Yarrowia lipolytica: one gene and its partners. The protein of the gene in region 2 interacts with the protein of the main gene of each other region in a pairwise test. Links are inferred from orthologs where the notes say so. Each region holds a gene or a part of one and is shown on either strand. Other genes may lie near its edges.

What was found.
Region 1: the proteins of YALI1_D00449g (region 2) and YALI1_B09044g interact in a two-hybrid assay, tested with the Saccharomyces cerevisiae proteins (2 studies listed by BioGRID). The link is inferred for Yarrowia lipolytica from reciprocal best matches to the Saccharomyces cerevisiae genes SBA1 and PPT1.
Region 3: the proteins of YALI1_D00449g (region 2) and YALI1_E23292g interact in a two-hybrid assay, tested with the Saccharomyces cerevisiae proteins (2 studies listed by BioGRID). The link is inferred for Yarrowia lipolytica from reciprocal best matches to the Saccharomyces cerevisiae genes SBA1 and DOT5.

What each region holds. Positions count from the first base shown.
Region 1 is NC_090771.1:903,118-906,483, reverse strand, and holds YALI1_B09044g (uncharacterized protein), read right to left. Parts: upstream 2,011-3,366; coding exon 571-2,010; downstream 1-570. Other genes in the region: YALI1_B09072g (uncharacterized protein), read left to right, coding at 1-153. UniProt on the Saccharomyces cerevisiae protein: Protein phosphatase that specifically binds to and dephosphorylates the molecular chaperone Hsp90 (HSC82 and HSP82). Dephosphorylation positively regulates the Hsp90 chaperone machinery.
Region 2 is NC_090773.1:43,584-46,449, forward strand, and holds YALI1_D00449g (uncharacterized protein), read right to left. Parts: upstream 1,360-2,866; coding exon 604-1,359; downstream 1-603. Other genes in the region: YALI1_D00422g (uncharacterized protein), read left to right, coding at 1-272; YALI1_D00474g (uncharacterized protein), read right to left, coding at 2,155-2,866. UniProt on the Saccharomyces cerevisiae protein: Acts as a co-chaperone.
Region 3 is NC_090774.1:2,327,710-2,330,489, reverse strand, and holds YALI1_E23292g (uncharacterized protein), read right to left. Parts: upstream 1,237-2,780; coding exon 571-1,236; downstream 1-570. Other genes in the region: YALI1_E23302g (uncharacterized protein), read right to left, coding at 1-257; YALI1_E23280g (uncharacterized protein), read left to right, coding at 2,508-2,780.

The DNA of each region.
Region 1 (3,366 bases), on a different chromosome or scaffold from region 2:
GAGGACGACACCCGGCCAGGGAGGAGCAGGGAGAGGTCTAGAGAAAGGGGGTACTCAGAGAGGAGGTCCTCAGAGAGGAGGTCCTCAGAGAGTAGGCGCAGTCGGGACAGGTCTCGCGAGAACAACCACAGATCCAGGTCGCCTCGATATTAACAAACGTGGAACATGGTCTAGTAGAAACGTGTGAAACACCTATTTATAGTAACGGATTGGGTAATTTTTAGAGGCAGTAGTAGTAAAGGTGGTTGGGCGGCAAGTTATGGGCGATGCCAGATGAATCAGAAAGTCACGGCGATATGTTGGTGCAAGAATTATCAAAGAACAAGTATGAGATGATCTGATGGACCATTAGATGATCCTAAGTAATGAGTCTACAAATACATATATTTTATTTCACGAGAATGCCACGCGAGCGTCGAGCGTCGAGCGTCGAGCGTCGAACGTCAAACGTCTACTTTCGAACGTCTAGTTCAAACCTCTACTTGTAGCTTCAAACGTCTAGTTTCAAACGTCAACTTTCGAACGGCTTGTTGTCCACTCGTGACCTTCGGCCACTAGTTTCCAAATCCGTTAACCCATGAGCCGGTTGCTGTAAGCCATGGGCTTGACATCGGGATGAGGTTGGGCATCAAAGACGTTAAACTGCATCTCCAGATCATGTCCAATGTTGATGTAGGCGCCCTTGTTGCCCTGGGAATCGCAGTAGTTGGGGGCCGAGAAGACCGTCACCAGCTTGCCGTTATGCTCCACCTCGTAGCCTCCCATTCGCACCTCGTGGGATCGCAGAACTCCCTTCAGCCCGTTCTCCTTGCAGAAGGCCTCGGTCACGTCGGGTCCGAAACGGATACCCACTCCTCTCTGGGACGGCGACCGGCCGTTTTCGGGCTGCGGGTCGGTCCACAGCATCTCCATCATAAGACCGGAGTTGCCAGGCTGTTTTCGCGAAAATCGTGAGTATGCTCGAATGTCGTCCAGAGTGACGCCGTCCTTGGAGAAGAGACCGCCATGAACAACAAAGTAGGCGCCTCCAATGAGATGGGCCAGAGGCAGAGCCGAAAAGGACTCTGAAAAGAGCTTGAAGGTCCGTTCGTTGTATTTATGCTTGATTTCGCCCTCAAAGCCGTAGACGGCGTTCATGTCGTCAGTCTCGTGGTTGCCCCGGTTCAGGTAGATGAACGACGGGTTCAGCAGCTTGAGAGCGTACAGCAGAATGGCAATTTCTGCCGACCACGACCCTCGGTCCACAAAGTCGCCGTTGAACACATATCTGTGGGTGGCGGAAGGCCAGCCGTTGAGCTTGAAAATTTCCAGCAGATCAAAGAACTGCCCGTGGGTGTCTCCGCACACGGTGGTGGTGGTTCCCTCGGGAACGGGAGTCTCGACCATGGTGGGCTCCTCCTTGAACAGCTTGATGGCGCCGACCACAATGGCGTAGACGTATCTGAGATGCAGCAGTTTGCCGTTTTTGAACCGCTCGACCAGATCGTCGATGAACTTTTGCGTCACCGTGAAGACGGGCTTGTCATTTTCGTCGTATCCGTCGTCGATTTTAACTCCGTCGTAATTGTTGTCGATCTTGACCACGTCCAGGTCGATCTGCTCGGACAGAGCCGGGCCCTCCTCCACAGCGATGGCCAGCGCAAACGCGGCCTTTCGAACGAGCTTCTGGCACTCGTTGAGTCGCTGTTTGGCCGCATTATCGCCCGGAGCCAGCTGAACAACCTTCTTGAAGTCCACCAGGGCGTCCTTGTGCTTGATGATGGCGGTGTTGGACACAGCCCGACGAAAATAAGCCTTGATGTAGGTAGGATCCAGTTCGATGGCCTTGGACGAGTCCTCGATAGCCACACCGTACGCCTCGTTCTTGATGTGGGCCTGGGCCCGGTTGGCATAGTAGACGGCAGACTGGGGGTTCAGCTCGATGGCCTGCGTGTACAGATCCACGGCGTCGTTGTAGTGGCCCGAAAGCAGGGCTTTGTTGCCTTGGTTCTTGAGATCTTCCGCGGACATTTCGGGGCGGGGCGGGCACTGGTGGTGGACTGTGGGGGAGCTGAATCGCGAATGTTGGTGTCTTTGATTTTCCACTCAACTTTATTTGTTCCAGCACGTAAACAGAGGCCGATCCGACCGCACTTTGCGGGGACGTAAACGGAGGTTTGAAATCAGAAAGGGACAAAAATCGACTCTACAAAGATTCTGGAGGTGTTTCCAAGTCCAATATCGCCTTTGCAACCGCTTCTACAGGACCCTTGTCGCTTATCAGATGGAGATCAAAACTCCACTCTACTTGGGACGTTAGTTGAACTGATGAAGTAAAGCTAATGGGGAAAGAAAGGTCTGTAGAATAGCCAGTTTTGATGCCCCGGTTTCGATTTTTTGGACGGAAGCGCAGACGATTGAGATAAATAGCTGATATTCACCCCAAACCATCAAATACTTTCCCCGTACACTTGAGCACTTGGTAAAAAAACATAAAAAAACATACAAAAAATTTACTGAGGTACACGGAACCTTAACATATTTAAATTCGCCATACAATATTGTCCTGAAACATTGAAAAATGGAAACATTGAAAAATGGAAACATTGAAACATGGAAACATGGAAACATGGAAACATGGAAACATGGAAACCTGGAAACATGGAAACCTGGAAACATGGAAACATGGAAACATTCTCTTTCTGAACTGCGGTCTACTGGAGACAGAAACAATACCACAAAAACGAGCACAACCAATGCACTTCCAGCCCCTCACAAATCGGATAGATTTGACAGAAGGCGACCCATGTGCTGATAGAGGCAGGAGGCCTGATACAGTTTTCCAGACCCAGGGCTTGTTCCAAGCAGAAGATGTGGCCACGTGACCCACCATCAGCCGAAATTTCGGTCACGTGACGGACCTCGGTCACGTGACAGATCCTGATGGCCCCGCGCCCCGCGCCCATGCAGCTCACTCACGGCTTCCCGACTCTGACGGTATGGTGCAACCCCACATTAGACTCAACCGAACGCTTAGCGAGATATTGAGCATTGTTGACTGAGACAAGAGAGACAGGCAAGGGAGGCGCAAAAATATGTCGAATGATTGAAAAATTGCCCAGTGGGGCAATTGGTACTCAGCGGAGTAAGTTTTTACCCAGAATCCATTGGAATATCCGTGATTTGAATGGTTTGAAGATGTGGATCTGGATGCTCAGGCTATTTGTTATATGAGATAGTACGAATACGACTCTAAGTTGACTATAAGTACGACTATCGCTGAAAAAATTACACCATTGGATTTGTCTGGCTGAGAGCTCTCTAATGGTGTGTTTATTTTTCACACAACTTGGATATTTCGGCCAATAACCGATGGCCATGGATAAT
Region 2 (2,866 bases):
TGTACAACATGTGTGTGCAAGCAGGAAACGTGATTGCATCCAACATTTACCGTAAGGACGACGCCCCTCAGTACTACCGTGGAAATACTCAGCTGGTGGCCATCTCTGCTGCCTCAATTGTTCTGGTCTTGCTGGTCAAGGTCTACTATGTGGCTATCAACCGACACAGAGATAACAAGTGGAACGCCATGAGCAAGGAGGAAAAGGCAGAGTACAAGGCTACCACGAAAGACATTGGCAGTCGGCGGTTGGATTTCCGCTTTGCCCATTAGCCTAAATAGATTAATAGATAGTGGAGATTCAAATGGTGATAATGTGCGCTTGTGGCAGCACATGATACTGTAGTGTAACACGGTTAATGCACGCTATGGAGACACAAATACCCCTCCAATATCAGCAGCAAAACACACTATTAGGTGGTGTTGTTAATGCAATTGATGCACACAGACAGCTTATTCACACCCAATTGGCACATGCACAGTTACTTACATATCCAATTGACACTACATGTACTACTGTACGAACTATACTGCACCCTCGATCTTAATCATCATGAATTTATTTATACATTAAGCATGTAGCTTTTGATGGCTTGTGGATCGCTTATTTGTCCTCCTTGAGCTCAGGAAGCTCCTCAGCCTCCTCGCCCTTCTCGCCCTCAGCACCCTCGGCGTCCTCAGCACCGCCAGCAAGACCGGCACCACCGCCCATCTGCTTCATGAGAGCCTCCATGTCCATACCTCCAGCACCTCCAGCACCTCCAGCACCACCGGCGCCACCCATGGCCTGCATCATGGCAGCCATATCCATGCCACCAGCGCCTCCGGCACCGCCAGCACCTCCAGCACCGCCCATAGCCTGCATCATAGAGGCCATGTCCATGCCGCCCATGCCTCCAGCGCCTCCGGCACCACCGGCACCGCCAAGCTGGGAGAAGTCAAGGCCCTGGCCTCCCATGCCCATGTCCTCCTCGGCAGGAGGCTCCTCGTCCTGCTCGTCCTCGTCAACCCACTTGTCGAAGTCGGTCTTGATGAACCGAAGACGGTGCTTCTCGTTGGTGAGTCGGGGCCAGTAGTCCTTCTCGCACTTGACCTTCTGGAGAATGTAGGAGATGCCTCGACCGGTCTCGGTCTTTTTGCTAGCCTCGGGATCAATGTCGCCGTAGAACTGAAGATCCAGCTCGTAGGAGTTGTGATCGTTGTAAGCGTTGAGCTTCAGCTTGTTGCTGGTGAGCTCAATCTCAATGTCCTTGGCATCGGGAATCAGGATGTTCAGGTAGACAATGTTCTTGGCTAGAATGTGCTCGTTAGACCGCTGGGCCCAGGTAACCTCGGGGGTGATAGACTTAGTCTTGTTCATCTTGCAATTGTGTCTTGATGTGATGTGAAGAGAAGGAGGTCGTTGGCTTCTTGATATGCTACTTGTGCTTCTCCAGATAAGCTTTAGGGTGTGGGTGCAGATATTCGATGTTCTTCTTAGAACTTCCAGGGCGTGCACAAACGCTAACTGGGGGTCGGTCTAGGTGGCAATGCAGGCGGGGAGGCGTGTAGATGTGGTTAATAGGGAATGAGGCGAGTGCCTTTTGAGGATGGCATATTGGTGGTACATAGAGGGTTACGTAAAGTGACGTCATTAGAAACATCCCCAGTCACGTCAGTGATAATATAATACGAAGTACTCGTACAATTATAGACAAACAAGGCACCAGGATGTTCACTGAAATTTGTGCCCCCGATTCTCCCGATTCTGCGGGCTGTAGATCAGTCTGTGCATACGTCATTGTGAGTGGGAAAATAATTTATGATGAAGAAGAGGGATATACGAAGCAGATAATGTGTCAATGTGGATGTGAAGTACGATCCGCCATCGCGTACGATGCGAGTACGTCTGCTGAGTCCATTATTTCGATTCTACGCAGTTTACACAAAAATAATTAGCGGGCGATATGTTCTAACACGTGCGTATTTCTTGAAGGCAGAGAGCACTGAACGTGTACGAGCGCGAACAATGTTCAAGCTCACACAACTCGACTTGTTCAATTATTGATACAAGTAGCTACAATACAGCCACGAGCGGTAGGATTCTACTAGATCACAATTACTCAATCAATATCATAATAAATTATTCATATCTAACTAATACAGGCAGAGTCGCTTAGAGAACTCGGGCGTTGTTGATGCCCTGGCCGCCGGCGAGACCAGCACCGGGCTGGATTCCGCCCTCGGCAGCACCGAGAGAGGTAGGGTTGATGCCCTCCTGACCAGGCTGCAGAAGCTCCTCGTTGTTTCGGCCCAGAGTGGGATGAGCGATACCAGAGCCGGTACCAGTTCCAGCTCCATCCTGGTGATGGTGGTGGTGGTGGTGGTGCTCAAAGACCTTCTCACCAGACTGGCCCTGGTTGGCTCGGGTCTTGGTGTTGTACTCCGAGTTGGAACCGACACCAGAGGCGGTGTGCGAGCCAGTCTTCGTGCCAGTAGAATCGTAAGCCGAAGAACCGGTGTTTCCAGTAGTTCCGTGCTTTCCAGTGGTGCCCGTCTTGGAGTCGTAGGCAGAAGTGCCGGTGGAACCGTGCTTGCCAGTGGAGTCGTAGGCGGAAGAGCCTTTCTTAGCCTCCTTCTCAAACTGCTCCTGCTCCTTGGTGGTTCCAAGGGGAACACCCTCCTTTCGCTCCTCGTACTCGGAGGTACCGGGGATGTGAGAGAGGAACTTCTCGCCGAGAGAAGCCTCCTTACCATGGGTGCCGCTGTGGGGTCCAGTAGTAGAGTCCTTTCCGTAGGCGTCGTTGCCGTAGGCATCCTTTCCGTGAGTTCCGGTAGAAGAAGTGTTCTTTCCGTAAGCATCAGAGCCAGTGGAAGAAGTGTTCTTG
Region 3 (2,780 bases), on a different chromosome or scaffold from region 2:
TCCTTCTGGTTCTGCCAATGGCCCATAACAGCTTCCTCCAGCTCCTTCTGAATGGCCTCAATGTCGTTTTCCAGCCGGATGATCTGGTGGCGAGTGTTTCTGATCTGGTGAACGTCGATATCCGCCCGCGGGAAGCCATCAACGGTCAGCGGAGTGGTCATGTTGACATTGTGCGACTTGAGCACGTCGTAGAGCGCATCTACCGTCTCTCGCAGCGAGTTACGCTTGTTCTGGAGCTCGAAAATGTGCTGAGACATGTGTGGTGAAGGTGTGTAGAGGGAGTGCGGTGGGAGTAGGAAGTTAAACGGGGATGTTGCAACTAATGGTCAACTGAGTTTAGTTGGACTTTGTGGGACCAAGACTAGCGACAATGTTGGCAGGTGGAAGTGAGCCAATGAGCCGTGATTCGCTGATTTCTTGTGCAGGCTATAGTCTCTCACTGTACCCACCTAAACAAGTCGACGGGTGGGTTGGTCTGATGGCTTCGCTCACTTTTCGTCTAGTCATTCTCTCATGTCTTATACAATACTATACTGGTATATAACAGGCGCTTCGACGAGATCCGTTTGGCTACTCCTTCTGAACCTCTTCCAGCGCCTGGGTATAACTGGCCTCGGGGCCAATCTTGACCTCCTTGACGGCGAGCTTTCCGTTCTTGAAAATCCAATGGCTGCGAATCACGCCCTTGGGCACCTTTCCGGGGGTCTTGGTGGCGCCCAGAATGCCAATCAGTTCGTGCTTGGGGTCGGACAGCAGCTCGTAGGGCGCATTCTGCTTGGTCTGGAACTTTTTCTGGGCGGCGGTGGAATCAGCCGACAATCCAAACACGGTGGCATCGACCTTCTTGAAGTCGTCGTATTTGTCTCGGAAGCCACACACCTGCCGGGTGCATCCGGGAGTGGACGCCTTGGGGTAGGCGAAGATGACGACGATGGGTTCCTTGGCCACGAGCGCGCTCAGATCGATGGGATTGCTGTCCTGGTCCAGCAGTGTGAGTTTCTCCGGCAGGGCGTCTCCGATTTGGAGTTCAGTGGGGACTTCCTCAGGCTTGGACTCGTTGGTCTTAGCCTCATCCTCCTCAGTCTTGGACTCCTCGGTCTTGGACTCCTCGGTCTTGGACTCCTCGATATCTTTCTTGTCACTTCCATTCACCTTTTGCTTTTTGGCGCGCTTGGAGGGCAGCTCCTGGGGAGCAGGGGCCTTTTCTCCGGCCAATCGGGCAGATCTTCGGGCCATTTTTCGAGCAAGGCGGTTGTTGCGGACGGGGGAGAATGGGGGAGCAAAAGTCGGGCGAATTAAATTCACTCAATCGTGTGGTTGAGAGGCTCGGCTCCCGCACCCCGTCGTCGACACCATATTGGGAGGGGGCCATTAGAGTTAGGCACAGTAGTGGATGGTGGAGGAGGTTGCAGCTTCGGAGGGGTGCTCATGGGGGCGAGGTTTGGCGTCTGATTTTGTTCGATTCCGCAGAAAACGCGAAATTGAACATCTCCATCAACTTTTTCCCGTTTCTCCGGCCCGTTTCTGACTCACTGGAGCCCAAGATTGACCCACGACTAGCGTTGCAGTTGAACCAGAGAGTGGTTGGTGGCGTCGCCAAAGTAGAAGCGCCATTGGCCATAGCGTGAGAGAGCGACTACTTGTAGTTACGACTCTCAACATCTCCTTGCAGGCAAGGGGGTTTTGCACCGGTTTGTGTCCACAATATGAGAGCTGTTCGCGTAGGCGCAAGTCACTTTCGAGAACTGAAATGAAAGTGTCGTTGGAGTCGATCTGTAGAGCTCTTGTATATACCAAAGGTACCGAGCCTTAAGGAAGCACCAATTAGTAAATCATGTGACCGTTTCTCGTGCCGCCCTGGTCGAAAGAGGTCTTTCTGGAAATTTCTTGGAATGTTTGAGAAGATGAAGATAAGTAAAGCGTAAGTAAAGCGTAAGTAAAGCGTAAGTAAAGCGTAAGTATGTACTAGTATCAGGTATTGTAGTTTAGGAGTCACGGCTTGGATGGTAGATAGTCGAGAAGAAAGCCGAAATCGTGGAGTTGTTCGTTGTTCTCATGCTGCTACTGCTACGGATGTTACTGATAGTCCGTAGTCGTCCTTCTACCGAAAGAGCTGATAATCTCCTATCACATCTACAACCTGAGATTCATTCCCAAGAAAGGAATGCCGACTGAACGTACTAATGAGCAGAAGCCATCAATCTCCGCAGTACTCGTACTAGTACTACAGTCCACTCCCCTGCAGTTGACTCGCCAATCAACTCCGCTACAGTCAACTCCTCCTCGTTTGAGACAATAGCCCTACCTGTACCGGCTGGCAAGGAAGTCTCACCTGAACAATGCCCGAATGAGACCAGAAGGGTACGTGAAGAGGAAGGATACGAATCACGTGAAGAGGAGAATCACATGAGGGGGAGGGATACGAATCACGTGAGTACAAGGGTCATAACCGAGACTATAATGTCACAAGTATCAAGTCAAGTCAGTCAGCGGCTGTCAACTCACCGATGTACTTGCCCACACCCTTTCCAATTATCAGATCAGGTCGACATTGGATCATCAGGATCAACGTGGATCATCGTGGATCATCGTGGATCATCATGGATCATCACAGACCAACATGGATCTGCGCCGACCCTACGCTGATGGTGGTAGCGTCGAGTCTATCCTGCCTCCACAGGGCCATGAAAGTTGTCGTATTCCGCGTGGGGGCTGGCTTCCTGACAGAAGCGTTGGACCATGCGGCACCGACCTACAAGGGCGACACAGTACATGGAGTA